2 linked regions of the Astyanax mexicanus genome follow. The protein of the gene in region 1 binds, or shares a complex with, the protein of each later gene. Links are inferred from orthologs where the notes say so. Each region holds a gene or a part of one and is shown in the gene's direction. Other genes may lie near its edges.

What was found. Proteins that work in one complex are often made in the same cells at the same time.
Region 2: the proteins of gnao1a (region 1) and chrm2a are in contact, whole or in part, in a cryo-EM structure (PDB 7T8X), measured with the Homo sapiens proteins. The link is inferred for Astyanax mexicanus from reciprocal best matches to the Homo sapiens genes GNAO1 and CHRM2. Residues at the interface, in NP_066268.1 of Homo sapiens: Lys24, Ile28, Ala31, Lys32, Leu195, Tyr320, Asp337, Ala338, Thr340, Asp341, Ile343, Ala345, Asn347, Leu348, Gly350, Cys351, Gly352, Leu353, Tyr354; in NP_000730.1 of Homo sapiens: Asn58, Arg121, Cys124, Val125, Pro128, Leu129, Thr130, Pro132, Val133, Lys134, Thr136, Ile209, Ser213, Lys214, Ser215, Arg216, Ile217, Arg381, Lys384, Val385, Thr388, Ile389, Cys443.

The regions. Positions count from the first base shown.
Region 1 is NC_064416.1:26,264,237-26,272,562, forward strand, and holds the start of gnao1a (guanine nucleotide binding protein (G protein), alpha activating activity polypeptide O, a), read left to right. Parts: upstream 1-5,010; 5' UTR 5,011-5,529; coding exon 5,530-5,647; intron 5,648-5,930; coding exon 5,931-5,973; intron 5,974-8,326. UniProt on the Homo sapiens protein: Guanine nucleotide-binding proteins (G proteins) function as transducers downstream of G protein-coupled receptors (GPCRs) in numerous signaling cascades.
Region 2 is NC_064409.1:45,373,583-45,381,846, forward strand, and holds the start of chrm2a (muscarinic acetylcholine receptor M2a), read left to right. Parts: upstream 1-4,849; 5' UTR 4,850-5,173; intron 5,174-8,264. UniProt on the Homo sapiens protein: The muscarinic acetylcholine receptor mediates various cellular responses, including inhibition of adenylate cyclase, breakdown of phosphoinositides and modulation of potassium channels through the action of G proteins.

The DNA.
Region 1 (8,326 bases):
TCTCCATGCCAGTGAGGCAAATGAACACTTCTTCAAGACTTCGCTCAACACGGTCAGACTCACTTCAGTCTAAAAAACAATGCACGCTGCAGGCTGTAGTCTCCCTATTTAGCTGCACTTCAGATGGATATGAAGGCTATGAAATTTGAGGAATATTTAAATATGCACAGGACTGTGTGTGTGTGTGTTTGTGTAAGTGCTGTACACAGTTTAGATGCATGCTGATGGGCATTATCTGTCAAAGTACAAGCTCAGGCTGACTGCTTTGTAATGGAGCGTGGGTGGAGATCCACTGCTAAATTCAATCATCTCACACACACATATACACACTCCCCTCTCCTCTCCACTCTGACTAGGTTTGCTTCCAAACCTTTGGCCTAATTTAGAGTTTTATGTATCCAAATCTGTTAAGCATCTAAGCAGTTGTCCTCAGTGTATGTAAACATGCTCAGCATGTAGCCTAACACATGATTTTTTAAAAAAGAATTGGGGGTTTCCACCAGTCAGCTTTAAACAAAAATTATGTACCACTTCCTGTGTTTGAAGGGGAAATAAATAAAGGAATTAAAAGGCCTCAGCAGGTTATACTATAATTTTCTTTTATTTTAAAATAAATTTAGACTGTTACTGCATTTCTGTGGAAAGGGCAAATATGCACCTCTTTCAAAAAACTGCTAATTTTAACGCCATTTAACTGAGGCCTCAATCTGGACCCATAATATACTGCTTTTAACATACAGTATATATTTATTCATTGCCATAAAGAAATGAGCACAAAGACATACAACCTATTTTGGCGGTTTTACTGTGAATATAAGATTCATACTTTTAAGCCTATGGTTTTGTACAGTGCAGGATGCCTTTGCATTGTCTACTTTCAGTCAGAGTAAAGAGATTTCTCCCGGATTTTCCCCCAGATTTCATCATCGTCAGGTTTTTACACCAGCATGGACTTTCCTGATCACATGATTCTATCATGATGCTATCATCACCTCCTCTAAGGCACGTGAAGTCAGCCTATTAATGTTCATATTCTCAAACTATGGCTAACACATTGTAATTGGAATGCTGATCACACTTAGAGGAGACTGTACTCAAAATCTCCCAATGATTGGGCCACCACTTTATTCCTCACTTTTATATAAAGTGAAGATTAAAAGTCTTGAGTGGTAACATACTTGACTGGCTGACATACTTGTTTTGGTCTAAAATAAAAAGTATATGCCTGACATTCCAAAAGCATATAAAGAATATTGGGATAGCAGTATATAAAGTACATTAATCATGAAGTGATACTTAAGGGGACGATTTGAGAACACCCAAACCTGTACACATTTTGAGAGGTGAAGCTGAATGCTGAAGAATTATTCTTTCTCATCCACTCTTTTTTAAAGCTCTTGGTGACAAAGAACTGAAGTGAGGTATTTGCATTTTTTTGGGCTAATTGGTAGAGAGAAGGGGCAAAATGGAATTGGCCCTAGAACACCTGTTCTGTGAGAAGTGTGGGGATCTAACAATTAAGGAGGTGAGTCTAGAACCGTCTTTGGTCTCTGCTGTGCAGATTCTGGGTACAAACTTATTGGGCTTAACTTTGAACTTAAGTTATCTGGCTAAACAAAGAAAAATCCTGCTCTATTAAATATCTATTAAAGTCCAGAAATGGAAAACACTGATGTACTGTTTATTCTTATTCATAGGAAGCCAGGCTGGATCACAGAGACAACTCATATGGATCCATTTTATTAATTGCATTCAAATGTTTGTCATTGTCTGGACCGAATAACCTCACCAATCAGTCATTTTGATGTTTTTAGCAAGGTTTGCAAACGACAGAAAAATAATGATCTTCGTTTTAGTAATTTCATCACTTTTATTGCAGTGTCTTGCAAAAACGGAATACCTCGCTCCAGAAAGGCCCTGAAAACTTAATAAGCAGTCAGCAGTTAGCAGTCAGGTGTTTAATGTGGGTGTCAGGGCCAGTACAATGTGAAACGTTCAGCGTAATGTGAGGTGATTAACCAAAGTTTCCTATTCTTCTGAACTGCATTCAGCTTTTGCTCTGAATCAGGGTGTCAAATGTTTATTTTAACCTTTCTTTCACTCATTATCTGCAAACTGTGTAACTGGGTCATGTGAAACATTCATTGCAGATATGTTTTTAGATGTTTCACTTTCTACACTGCAGAACTGGCTTGATTCCAAAAAGCAGGCTGACATTTAAATGAACAATATGTACTTAACTACAGCAAGCATGCAAAATGCTAAAAAAAAAAAAAAAAAAAAAAAAAAAAAAAGTACCTTAGGCTGATTTTAATTTATTGGAGGGAGCTGTCTGTCCCACCGCCTCCTCCCCAGATTGTGGTGTAAGAACCTTGCTACAGGTGCATCTGGTTATCCTTGGGGATTCCTAAGGAAATGGCGGCCATTTAGCTCCGGTTCTTGAAGATTCTTCGGGGGTCCGGATTTACTACAGGATGGGAGGGAACTCCTTTCTGGAACACCTGTGGGAATGAAAAGATTTAAGTTAGAGTTAAAGGTACAAAAAATATGTGATAATGCTTACCATTCAGAGACATGTCTTAAAGTATGTACAGCTGTAAATAATGCTGACATTAATATGTGTGTGTGTGTGTGTATGTATGTATGTGTGTATACTTTACAGTTACCCCTACCTGTAACATTGGTATGGTCTAATTAGAGAAGAGGCGGGGCTACAGGTTTAAAGGGCAGGTAGAGTCACCTGTAGAAGAATCTACCAAATTGAAGCTGTTGTGAGCCAGTCAAACTGTTGGGGGCTTTACAGACCTTACTGTAGTGCTGAGAGTCAGGATCAATTTTGTGTTTGGGACTGATATTTAAGGGGCAAGCGTTTACTAGTTAGCAGAGTGCTATATTTATGGACTATATTTGACCCCAGATTTTTTTTGTCAATTGTGAACATTTATTAAAATAGCTTTGGTGTTGGAACTGACCTGGAGGTATTTGAGCTTTTCTTGTCCTGTTGGGAAATGAAAGCTGCATCTCTATAAAGCTTGTCATTGGAGGAAAGCATGAAGTGCTGCTCTAAATTGTTGAATTTGTTTAAGTTTTTGATTATATAATTTTTTTTAGATGCACCCGATTAACAAACAAAATCAGTTGTACTGTGTAAGTTTATTTGCTAATGTAAACCCTTAAAGTGTCCAAAGTTTCCAACGTTATGCCAATTTTTACTTGCATAGAGGCAGCAGCACACTGTGGCCCAATCCAATTTCTAATATGTACCCCTAGCCCCTGTTTCTAAGTGTAACTCCTCCCCTTCCCCTGTAATTAGTTTTTATTTGCTTTTCTTTCCCTATTTCCATCTTAAATGCTGTAGCCCCTGTCATCTGTTGCACCATTTATGTTGAAAAAGAAAATTTAGCTAGATAGCAAATGAGACAAACTATTAGCAATAGTTTATGAATGTTATAAAGAAAATGCCCATACAACACTCAAACTACACATTAAGCAATGATGGTTAATATAGTGGTTACAGTCGATTTTACATCCCTCTATTTTAAGTGTACCTCTAAAAAATCTATGTTTGCCTGAGACACTGTTTTGCCTGAGTTTTAACAAGATTGTGGATGTGAAACGTGTGAAATACTTTAAATTTGATTTAATTAAAATATTGGACAAATATATGCAGGACTTTGTACAAGTAATAGTCCCCACAGACAAGGCCTGTCCACACAAATTCAGATATTTTTTAAAACAGTACTGCAAAGCTACAGACAGACTGTGTTGTTTTGGTGCTTCAGCTGAAATGGAAAAGAAGTCTGTGGGTTTTAAAGCCACAGGAGTAAACACTTGTACATAAGATAATATCTGCATCAGAAAAAGAAACAGATTTCAATTTTATCTTGGACAATTCAGCAAAGAATAGATTATCGAACCAAGCTAAAGCACTGCTGTAAAGATAGGCCAGTGATTTAACTTTAAGGATTTTTTCCTTAACATGTGATGCCACAGATATAATTTATTGGGTTAGTGGTGAAAATACAAATACTACATATTGGTCCTTTAAACTAACTTCACCTAATTGTCTGCAAACTGTGTGTCTGAGTCCTGTAAAATAATACATACATATTCGTTCTTTTATTACTATAAGCTGTTTCACTTTCACCACCACAGCTGAAGTGTCTGTATTTCAGAAAGCATGCTGACATTTAAACGCTGCCTCACATGAGAGTGGAGGGAGGATGTGACGAAGGCAAGATGGCCAGCTGTTGAATTTGACGCTTTTGCTCGGATTTATTTATTTATTTGTTTGTTTCGTGTGTTGATTTTGCAGGTCATTAGCATTAGCTCTGCTGTTGGCCACACCTTGTCGTGATTCCTCTCTTCCTCTCAGTCGCTCTTTCGCTCTAAATCGGTCAAACGCGTTGATTTAGTGACCAGCTAGTGAACACAATGCTCCTTACTGCGAATCTGTGGGGCTTGAGGGGCTAATTTTTTCTTCTTCTGTATCTTTGTACAGAAGAAAACCTTGGTGCAGGATTTTTAGCTTAGCGTTTATTTAACGAACGGGGATGCTGCTCGCGCTCGCTCTTCAGTTCTGACGTCACTGTGGAGGATACGGTTTTTTCGTTTCCCACCTGTTTTCGTTTTTCATTTTTCTCGCTCTATCCTTTGCCTTTTTCTGATTGGTTATTCTTCTCGGTTTTCTGAGCTATACGATTGGCTGTCTGCTCTGACAAGCAAATGTCAAAGCCTGGCTCAGCTATACATATTAGTGTGAAAGAAAGACCAGCCAATCCCGACGCTTAAACCGCTGTCCAATCACAGCACGGGGGAGGCGGGGCTTGTCGGAAAACGGGCGGGAAAAAGCAAGGGGAGGTTAAAAAAAAAACAAAAAAAAAACACGTAACTAACGTGCTCGGCGCGCGCGCTCCCGCTCGCTCTCTCGCTCGCGCGCTCTCTCTCTCTCCTCGCTGACCCTCCATTGTGAGCAGAGCTAAACGATGCTAGCAGCCGTCGCCGTCTTCGCCTCCGCCTCCACCGCCACTACCGCCGCTGCTGCCGCCGCCGCCCAGTAGAAAAGGACAGATAGAGCTAGATAGATAGACCCCCTCCCCTCCACCGCTCCCCCTCCGCCCGAGGAACCACCGACACGACCAAGAGAGACGGAGAGCCGAGCCGGTTCACCTACAGCAGCAGCAGAAGCAGCTCCTTATACAGCTAGGTTAGGTTATCTCCACCAGGCTGCGTGTCTTCGTGTCGTTTTGCGGGATTTTTCTGCTTCTTTTAATGCTATAGCTAGAGCCGTCGTTGTGAGTGAGCGAGTGAAAGAGAGAGTGTGAGTGAGAGAGAGAGAAAGAGGGAGAGAAAGAGAGAGAAAGAGAGAGAGAGAGAGCGCTAGGAGAGAAAGGTAGAGGAGATAGATAGGGAAGAAATCTCGAGGTGAAATAAAAAATAAACCACGGAGTGCTCGCTCGCTTCCCCCCCTCGCACGTCGCTTCTCGCCGGTTTCGGAGCTGAAAGAAAGAGCCTGCGGTCCGCCTAGTCATGGGATGTACACTGAGCGCCGAAGAGAGAGCGGCTCTGGATAGGAGCAAAGCCATCGAGAAAAACCTGAAAGAGGATGGAATCACTGCGGCCAAGGATGTCAAACTGCTGCTGCTGGGTAAGGCTGGTTAACGCACCTTCTCTTTTCTCCCTCTTTACTGGGTGGATGGATGGGTGGGAGGGTGGGAGGGAGTGGACCTAGTCTCTAATCTTTAGTCTTTGCTCAGAGATCAATCTGACGTTAACATAATTAACCTCACCTAGCTAAGTTACATATCGTTCTCTATATGCGGCTACACGTTTATAATTTTAGGATTTATCCTGATTTCATGTTTTTTTTTTTTTATAATATTACCATATAACTACAGTCCTGATTCCCTCCTGTCTCTTGTGTCTTACAGGAGCTGGGGAGTCTGGTAAAAGCACCATCGTGAAACAAATGAAGTAAGTGCCATGGTGTAAATCAGATTTCTCGGTTTTTAAAGTGTGTGTGTCTTGGACGCGAGCATGCGCGCGCACACACAAGCATATACACACACAGTCACGCAAAAAAAAGCTAGTTAGCTAGCCTACATGCACGCAAACATTTTTTAGTAGCTTGCCTAGGTTAGCTAGCTAAGGTCCGCCATATTATGAAGAATGTCACACATTCACTGTATGTACTAGGTTAACTAGCTAGTTAGCTAACCGATCGACGCGCCTGCTCGGCTCGGTTTGGGGGGAGGAAACGCCTGCCTGGCTGCGGTCGGTCGTGCTGTTCGGTATAACATGGTGCTGAAGCCGAGCCGCTCTCACTCACTGTAACCAACAGAGTTAGGGTTGGGCGATATGGCCAAATTTTTGTCTTTGGTCTCAATGAGTGACAACATTTCAGTCTATACAAGCAGTTAAAAGCCACAGAAAACAAATACATAAAACGTAACGTTAGCTAGCTATGGAACCTGTGAACTCATGAAAAATGGATTTGCCTATTTCTGTAGTTAATGAACGTCAGTGACAGATGCAGTAAATTATCCAACGATAGCTTAACCCTATATATTAAAATGCTAGACATGTAGCTAGCTAATCTAGTTATTTAAAATCATCATACCACCATTATTGACACATTTTCTTTATATGTATGTTGATATTAAATAATTGTCCATCCCTTTAGCTAACTATGTAACTACTGCAGCCTGTACATTATTATCTCGGGGCCACACCATTCTGCTGTACAAACGCTAGCTTAGCTAGGTTAGCTAAACTATTCTACTAGCTAGGAGCTAGTATTTGTACACTTTAGCTGACTAGGTTAGCTATATGGCCATGTCTTTCTGTTCCTTTTCAAGCTTTTTGCGTTTTATGTAAAATACAGGGTGGGTAGCTAGATAGGTTAGCTAGGTTAGCTAACCTAACCTAGCTGACCTAGCTAGTTAGCTTACTAGCTAGAAGTTCATTTAAATGATGTACATTTTAGCTAGCTAATTAGCTATATGGCCATGCCTTTCTCGTCATGTTTAAGCTTTTTGCGTTTTGTGTAAAAGACAGGGTGGGTAGGTGTGTGTGCGTGTGCCTCGTTCTGTAGCCTGATATCACACAGAGAGGCTTCTTAGCTAGTTAGCTTGCTAGCTAGTCTATTGCTGAGATTTATCCTAGCTAGGTTAACTACTATTTTTGATGCATTAGCTTGTGTATTCAACAGCCTAAAGCCCTTTCTGACTGTACATTGCATTATTACAGTTTTGCTCTCATTTAACGTTAGTTTAATTGGAGCAGAACTCACTGTGGTATGTAATTGACAAGATCCTCATCATAATTCTGTGTAACGTTATCTATGTATAGTTGCTATGATTGGCTTCCATATTCAAGGTGAACCGTACAGCAGCAGGCCTTCTAGTGATTGTGGGTTGTGGGTTATGTAGCGTTAGCTATGATTTGAGCGAATCATGCACACACAGAGAGAAATGGGGGTGGGGAGGTGGTGGCAAGGCTGGGGGGCGGTGGAGGTGGGAGGGGGATGGTAGCTAGCTAACACCCTAACTTGGTGTTCACTCGGCCATTTTTATTTTTCACGCAGCTATCACACCCAAACTGAGCCCCGCACAGATCGCGTTTTGTGCGTGTACAGTGCACTAGCCCCCAGCTCTTTATATATACAGAAGAGCCGTCCAGTCGTGCTCTTTTTCTCTGTCATATACGGGCCTGTTAATGCTGTGCTGCTGCTGCATTACCGTGGCGTGTCCAGTGCACATTATAAATCCTGTGTAGCGCAGTGAGCTGGAAGGTGGACGGTCAGATCGCGGCAGTGTATCGTTGTGTTCAGATGTCTGGCTGGTAGATGTTTAGGGTGCTGTGATTGTGCGGATATAGCGGCTCGGCTTAGCGCTCTGCCCCGAGTCTCGAGTGTTAAGATAAACCTACCATTTTCCACTCGGATCTGAATCCCTCTAGACCGCGACAAACGGGGGCGTTTTATACCCGTGTTTCAGCGCTCCCCCCTGTGTGTGTATGTGTGTTAGGTGTTTGGTGTGTGTGTTTGTGATTCGGGTGTGTTGTGTGATGCTGCTCCTGTGCTTTATGCCGCTTTACTGAGTGTGAGGATTTCAGGCGCTGTCGGTGGTGGACAGCGCCCAGCAGAGGCCAACGCTCGGCTCTGATCGGCTCCGCTCGGCACTTTCCGGAATTGGAGCGGTTCGAGAAAAGCACGGAGTGGATTTTCCTTCCGGCGCGCTGTTTGTCTACCTGTCTGTCAGGCTGTCTGCCTGTCTGCTTCTCTGTCCGTCTATGTATCTTGCCCCATCTATCTGTCTGTCTGTTT
Region 2 (8,264 bases), on another chromosome or scaffold:
TTTGTGTGGGATTCTCCTCTAGGGTGATATAGGGAGCAGAGTAAGGAGGCACTAGGCAGGTGTGCTGTGACAGGCTGTGTGTATGTTAAAGGAGGTTCATTTCTGTAGGGAGTACGGATGTGGCGTATACGCGTCTGTGTGCGCTGGGCAGTGTGATTTATGAGCTTCCATTAATAGAACCCAGTGTGTTTTGCCCATTAGATGCTAATTGAGAAACACTCAAGCCCACAGTCTGCAATTGTGCTGCAATATACGCAAAAAATACCCCACTGTTCTCCCTGCATCTCATTACATGCGTCCGCATGTGCAATTACATGTGTTTTTGTAAAGAAGCGTATAACTGTAGTACTGTATGTGCAGAGATATCGTACGCCTGTTCTCCCTCCCACTTCCATTATATCACTGTCTAATACACAACTCCCTCCACCCCCCCTTTTCCTTACTCTCGTCTCTTGTTCTCTCAGAGTAGAGTGTGGCCTTGCTTTATATTCGCGCCTCACTTAACAGACAATGCAGCATATGTAAATAGGGGCAAACAATGAGTGGACAGAAACAATGCGAGTTTTCGCTCCTCTCAGTGTAATTAGCTCCCCGGCCGTATTGTGGGGCTGCAGCTGCTCTATATATCTGCATTTCACACTAATTTAGCCTGTTTGGCCGGCCTGAGCATGACAGCATCCAGCCCTAATGCATGTGTGTACGTCCAGAACCCAGAGCTGCATTGCTGCTCACACAGCCGTTAATTGACAGCAGCGATTTACGCTCCTCCTCCGGAGCCCAGCTCCAATTTGAGCACGAGACTATGAGACACCGCCTACCAATAATGACACCAAACCAGCCAGTGACATACAGTGATGTGAAAAAAAGTTTTTGCCCCCCAAATGCTTTTGTTTGTTTTCTGCATGTTTTTCACGCTTAAATGCTTTAGACCACCGAACTAATGTAAATATTAGTCAAAGACAACACTTTATTTTACATAACACAAATTAGCTTATTAATGTCTTATCATTTGCTTAATAAAGCCTTAATTAGACATTTGTAAATGATTTATGAATGAATGAATGAAGTTCAACTTATATAGTGCCTTTCTAGAAACCCAAGAACACACCGGTGAGAAGCGGCAGCCAATAGCGCACAGCGTACTCTCAACCGGAAACCATCCACCGTCCACCTGGAGGACTGCATCGGGCACTACAGCATTGAGCCAGGACAGAGTGCCAATTTATATCTGGGCACAGTCATTGTGATGTGGCAAGGTAGCCCATTACCATTTATTAAATGTACTTATGTAATGTACCTCAGTCCTGCTGTGTAGAGGGTCTGAGGGGCAAAAGGGAAGAAAAGGGGACCGGTGCTTCTTCTTCTGGTAGGACGGATCCACCTGCAGGAAGGGAGAGGTTGCGGACATTCTTGTTTGCCTGTAAAAGGAAAATAATTAATTAATGTTTGTGTAAAAAAAAATAGTGATCACTTACCTGTTTAGTCATCATCTGTGAAAATGTTAAATAGCGCTATTTGTGTAATTGTTTTTGTTCGTTTTATGTTTTACGTTTAATGGGTAGCCTCCCCTTAAGGGCTTTGTTGGTATGATCGGGGTGGGGCTTAATGTGAAAATGCCGGCTGGGGTGCTCGGTTCTAAGAAAACTCTCCCGGGGTACGAAAGCTCTGTCTGGTGTCATTATACTGCGTCTGCTAGCCACTTAAGGAGGATTGGCCTTGCGGCTTCCCTCATGTAAATATTTGTGTATATACTTACCGTTTTCTTTCGTTTGTATCAGTTTTTGTTTGTGTTTTTGGTGTAAAGAATTAATAAATCACCGTGCACTTGGAAATCTGACTCTTATCTCCTGTTCCACAGCACACTCGGGGTTCTGGTCATTTGCTTCACGTAAATCCCCAAAAAAAACTTTTAAGTGGGCGAACATCTTTACAGTCATACATACATTTACACACACACACAAACTTACATACATACCACACACTTTACACATACACACCAGATCAATTTAGAGTATTCAATTTACCAGATCAAATTAGAGTATTCTATTTTTCTGGGCAATTTAGAATATCCAATTTACATGATCTCCATGGTTTTGGACTATAAGAGGAAACTGGAGTCCCCGGAGGAAGCCCACACAGACACAGGAAGAACATGGGAACTCCACCCAGATAGGGATTTGAACCCAGGACCACAGTGCTGGGAGGCGAACGTGCTAACCACTAAGCCACCCTGCCGCCACTGCTTATTAGGCTTTATTCTGTGTAAGTGTTAAAAACAGCTGAATAAATATTTAATCAATCAATCAATCCCCTTCACTACCTACACAGTAGTCCTATATGCACAACCCAGGACTACATACTGTACATGCAGACCATGGTGACGGGTTTTTATCGCGTATTTTCTGTGGTAACCTTTATCTTCCAGAAGAATAGCTTTGCTAACTGAGACTTATTTCTGGGTGCAACTATTTTAGAGCCTGACGGATTCCTATATAGTCCAAAATCACACCTTGTCTCCTCAGGAATTAATTAATCACAAATTCCTTAACACACCAGCACAATCTATACATGGTTAGAAAGAGGAGAACATACAGTTTCTAGAAATAGTAGCATCATCGCCATTTCATGAAGAGTCTGTGAGAAATCCTTTGTGAAACACCCAGAAAATAGACATTCCTTCAAAGTACAGGGACTATCCCTTCAAAGTTTGAAATAATGATGAATATGGTGGAGGTTCAAATATGTGTTTGAGTTGTTTTTTTCTACCTCTGGCATTGAAGATTGCCAAGGGATTTTGGGTAACTATGGATTGTAGGGCCCAGTGTCAGGAAGCTGAGTTTGCATCCTTGCTCATGGGTCTTCCATCAGGACAATGACCCAACAAATAGGCACTCCTTTAAATTCAGGACTATTCCTTCAAAGTTCAGGGACTGTCTCTTCAAGTTAAATCTCATTTTAATCGTATATAACAGTGATTCAGGGCATATCTTTACAAAGCAGAACCCACCATTTCTGAAAGTAGTGTGTTCTTATCTGATAAAGCATCTGTAAGAAATCCATTGTGAAAAATGTTTAAAAACAGGTGCTCCTCTTGATCAAAACATGGTAAAATTCACACAGGTATTTAAATTCTGTAGATATTTACATCTTAACAATTAAATATATATTTGAGTAGTCAATATCAGTGCAAACTGTCAACATGTGAATAAAATAAGGCATGAAAAGTCTAGGATCTCCTGAAAATAACAATTGCTGACTCTATAGTGTTGCTTTTGTAAACATTACTTAATATAAGATATGAGAAAGAAGTGCCAATTTTTTCCAATAATCAACAAAGATAAGAAGAAAATAGCAACAGTTTTCACAGACAGCTAGAAAAATATATGGTAAATACAACAACTACAACTTCTGCGTAGAGACCCAACCAATTAGTTAACTGCATGTAATGATGCAACATCAAGCCTCCATAAGTTTCAAATGAAAAAAAAAGCAGATTTTGTTGCTATGGAAAAAAAGATTGACTTTCTCACCCTCTCACCCTTATATTCACGGCCTCAATGTTAAAACTGCTTTAGCGTCCTTTAGCGTCAAAATTCTGCTGCTTACATGGCTGTAATTTGTAACTTGCCTTTTATTTGATTTATTTTGTAGTGAATAAAACAACAACTCAAAAACAGCAGCTGTAATAGACAAAAAACACTTGTCACAAACAGATCAGTTTTGGCGGTATGGTTTTCTCTTAAGAGTGCTTAAGGGTTCTCCAGATAATCATTGCTTTCTCATCTCCTGAATTAATTTAAACGGCAGAAAATAACAATATCTGAAATGTTTGACTGTCTTCTATAAATAGTTCATAATAGTTAAAATAAAAGAGAGGGTAACATTCAAAATATATATTTTTTACGCTGGGGCCCAAACGGTTTTAATGATGTGTGTGAAAATACATACACATAGAGAGCGAGAGACAGAGAGAGAGAGAGAGGGAGAGAGAGAGAGAGAGAGAGAGAGAGAGAGAGAGAGAGAGAGAGAGAAAGAATCGAGGATCTCCCCCAGTAGATGTCAGTAGAACGCTCGGTCCACCAGATCACCAGTCTGAAAATCTCAAAACCGCATTCGGCTCTACAAGTACTCTGTTCACACTATGGTAATAAAAATAGCTTAATCGCGATTCAAGATGTTTAAATAGACCTCTGTGGAGTTTTGGGTTGATTGAGAACTGGTTTAACTGGTTTGTGTTTGATTACAGAGTTGATGTTGGTGCGCTGTTCAGTTTTGGTGGTGCTGAATGAATGTTTTTTTTACTCTTTCTTGTTTCCAGCGGTTAAACAAACCTATCAGCATGCGCGCCGCGTTTCGTTCTTTCGTTTTCGCGACATGCTGAGCCGAAATCATTTTAATCCCGCTGCCAGTCCCGCAGCTCTGGATGATGATAGTGGTGATGGTGATGATGATGCTTCACTATTGATTCGCTGCTTGAGCGCCTGTGCGCGCGCTGTCCGCGGTGCTGAAACCCATGTAACAGTTATTTAAAAAGGGGCAGCAGCGGCACAGGGCCGAACAGCGGCAGCTGCTTCTTCAGGTTGCACGAGCTGCTCCGGGGTTGGTACTGGAAGCTACAGGGGTGTGCGGCTCGCTGTTATGAGATAAGCACTTCAAACGTGCGTCCAACAGGAGCCGCAGGGAGCGCTTTCCAGCCTGTTGCCGCTCCCTCAGGGCTGAAGGTCGAGGCTCTTCAGATTATTAGATGTGAAGATGTGATTTAGAGCAGGTGATTGCGCCTCGGTGCTGGAAGAAAAAAAAATCTTTGGCAGGGGCTTTGCTTGCTCTCTCGTGAGCCTGAGTGTTCCCCTCCTTTACCCTCCCCTTTTTTCTCCTCTCCACCTCCTCCTCTCTCTCTTTCTCTCACTCACTCCGTATGCGCGCGTGTCTTTCTCTCTCTCACACCCTATTTCCACCCGCGAGCGCACCGGCGCATCAGATGCGCTCAGCCTTTTCCGCCGCGCAGCCGCTCGAGCAACATGTCCTCAGACGTGCAGCTGCGTGACCGCGCGGAGCCACCGACCAGCGGCCACAACCACGCCGAGAAAGCCGCGGAGCGCACGAGGAGCCACAGAGTCTGAAAGAGAGAGAGAGAGAGAGAAAAATAAAGAAGAGAAAGAGAACAAGAGAGCACGTAGGTCCCTATTCATTTTCTGTGCACTTTTGCGCTTGTTCATTATGTGTTGTACGTTTTTTTTATTATGTGCATACTTTTTATTCTATTGCGTTGCTAAAAGATCTGTATCAAAAACAAAAGTGAAGTGTGAAAAGAAGTGCAAGAGTTAAAGATAAAATACTTAAGCGATAAAAAAAGACTCATTCCTTTCTTTCTATTTTTTTGTCGATCATATCATGGTGCTGATTACGACGAAGATATGTATAGCAAGAATCTACGTTTTCTCAAAAAATAGACAGAAAAAAAACAAAAAAAACAAGGGAATTACAACACGCGCATTTAAAGAGAGCTGCAAGCCTTCATAACTTTGGTAGATGTTCTGTGTAGAGACCCAAGCAACGTTTATTGCATGTAATGATGCAACATCAAGTTTCCATATGCTCATTTTTGTTTTCGCGAATTGCACAGAAAGCGGACTTTGGATGATTGGATAAACAGTTTAATCGTTCACCGTCCTTGTTCAAAAGTGCGTTGGGCAACTAGTGTGATATGATCTTATCTTCTTATAGTGCATTTACCAGTGTATAGCCGCCGCTTTCTGTTGTTTTAATGCACTCTATATATCTCTATGTATGTGGTGAGAACCTTTAAGAGTCCGGTGCGCACGGAACTGCATGCGTCCAAAAAACGGACCAAGCGAAAGGCATGAAGGTTAAACCCTTAAAAGCTGTCGCACACTTTTGTGCACTTTAGTACAACAAATTCTGCTGTTCACGTGGCTGTATTTGTAGGTTGTTTTTTTAATCGAGTCCTTTTGTGGAATTTTGTGGAATAAAACAACAACAACCCAAAACATCAGCTGTATTAGTGAAAAATACAGAATTTTTTTTAAAGCTGTGTCGTTTTGGTTGTATGGTTATCTCACACTTAAGCTTAATACAGCAAGATTGCTTTAAGCTATTTAAGGGTTTAATAATGCTCCTCCAGTCAATCATCGCGTTCTCATCTCCTGAGTTAATTTAAACGGTAGAAAGCTGCTCCCCCGCTGCCCTATCTCACTTAACCTTGTGCGCCGCGCTCTGGAGCAACGCGTTTTTAATGTGCACTATACGAAGCGCTCGCAGCTCACAGATAGAGCCTCGTTATTTAAGCAGATGAGGCTCACCGCTCTCCATTCTGCCTGCAAGTTACAAACGTGGAGCAAAAAAGTCTCCCGCAGACAATAAAAAGGTGCCCTTGGAAGCGCATCTGGAGGAGATAGATATTCATGATGCTTTGTATATTTTTGCATGAATGTGAGTGACCTCCAGAGAGTGTTGATCAGTAGTGCATTGTCAAATTCATATTGACTGAGAGATTTCAGCTTCATGTTTCTGAAGGTTCTGCTTTGGTGAAGGTTTATTGTGGAGCTCCAGGACCTTCTCACTGAAGTGTCTCAAACACTTGTTCAGTTAGCATGACGGCTGAGAAAGATGAGCTGAGATTGACTGGGACAAATTTATGGTTCAGTGTTAAGTGTTTTGTGTGTTTTAAGATTTGAGGGAAACGTGGGAAATAATATAAGTGCATAACAAAATAAAATGACTGATCAGAAAGTGTGTTGTGTGTTTGAGGATTTGAGGATATGTCTTATTAGCCCTATTTTGGCGGGAAACGTGGATATTGAAGGCAAAGAAAGACTGAGAAATGTAGAGTTCAGTGTTTTGTGTTTTTTTTATGACTATGTATTATCAATTTGCCTAATTTTGGCAAGAAAAGTGGATTAATACAAGTGGAAAATACAGAGGCTACGTAAGTGTACATGTAGGTGCTTGGTGAGGATGTATTTATCTCCTTGCGGGAACTTGTGTCTCTAGAATGGTGGAAAAAAGAGAACTCATTGGACTAATGTTCTTGAAGCTCAATAAATGCAATTTGCGGCCATATATATATATTTTGTTTGTATAATTATTATTTAAACTTAATAGTTTTTTGGAGCAAAGATGTTTGATGTACGAGGTTTGAGTTAGATAGACTAATGATAATGGTAGACTTATGGTAAAGCAGAGCAAAGACAGGAAAACAAACAAGGCTCCCGCGCGCGCGTGTATTTGGGCGTGTGTTTGTGTGTGTCTGTCCTGAACGTGCGCGCGCACATCAGCGTTCCAAAGAACAGCAAACAACATCACCTGGAGCTGCGTGAGCGTTTAGACGCAGATCGATTCTCCCGCAGTGTAAATGAGATATGAGCGCGTGCACGCGCGCGCTATGGGAGTCGTGACCCCGACCTCACCGGGGCTGTTCTGGCTGGCCCATATCCCACAGCGACCACCACGCGCCTCATTACGGTCAGTGGGAGGCAGGGTCAGCCTGTCAGCTCCTGGAGCTCGCGCCGCTAAATCGACTGACGCTGAGACGCCGAGTCCAGTCCGATCTGTCGATTTCGCCTCCTGGACTCTGTCTGAACACAAGTCCACTGCGAGGAACTGCCTGTGCTCCAGAGTGCTGCTCCTGCTTTTAGTACGTGTTGAGGACATACTTTGCCCCTACAGTGGAATGACCAACTTATGACTCATGATATTGATCATTTCACCAGAAAATAAGCGTTTTTAATTTCTGTAATCATCACTTCTGTATTTTGGATTCATATAACATATTATTTGTATATAATAGTGATTATTATTGCAAATGGTTACGACATACAACATGTATGTCTATTTTTCACTTCTTCTTAACTTAAGTAGAAGATGATGCTATCAAGGATGATGAATTGATCAATAGAAATGCTTCAAAAATGCACAAATAAGCTCTCTATAATCTCTCTATATCATACTCAGAATATTCTAAAGATTTTACCCCATAGGAGACACTGTATATAAGGTTTCAGCTTGGCATTGCTTATACACTGTATGTAAACTCAAGCCCTGATATTTTCCGAAAACAAGTATCTGTGTGTGAGGAGAGAGAGACTGATCAGGAAAGAAAGAGAGCAAGAGAAAGAGCGAGCACATCATTTCTGTAGTTTCATAGGATTCATATAACATATTAATATATAATAATATAATAATTATTATTGCAAATCATTGCAGTTAGACAACTTAGACAACTGGTATCTCTATTTTTCACTTTT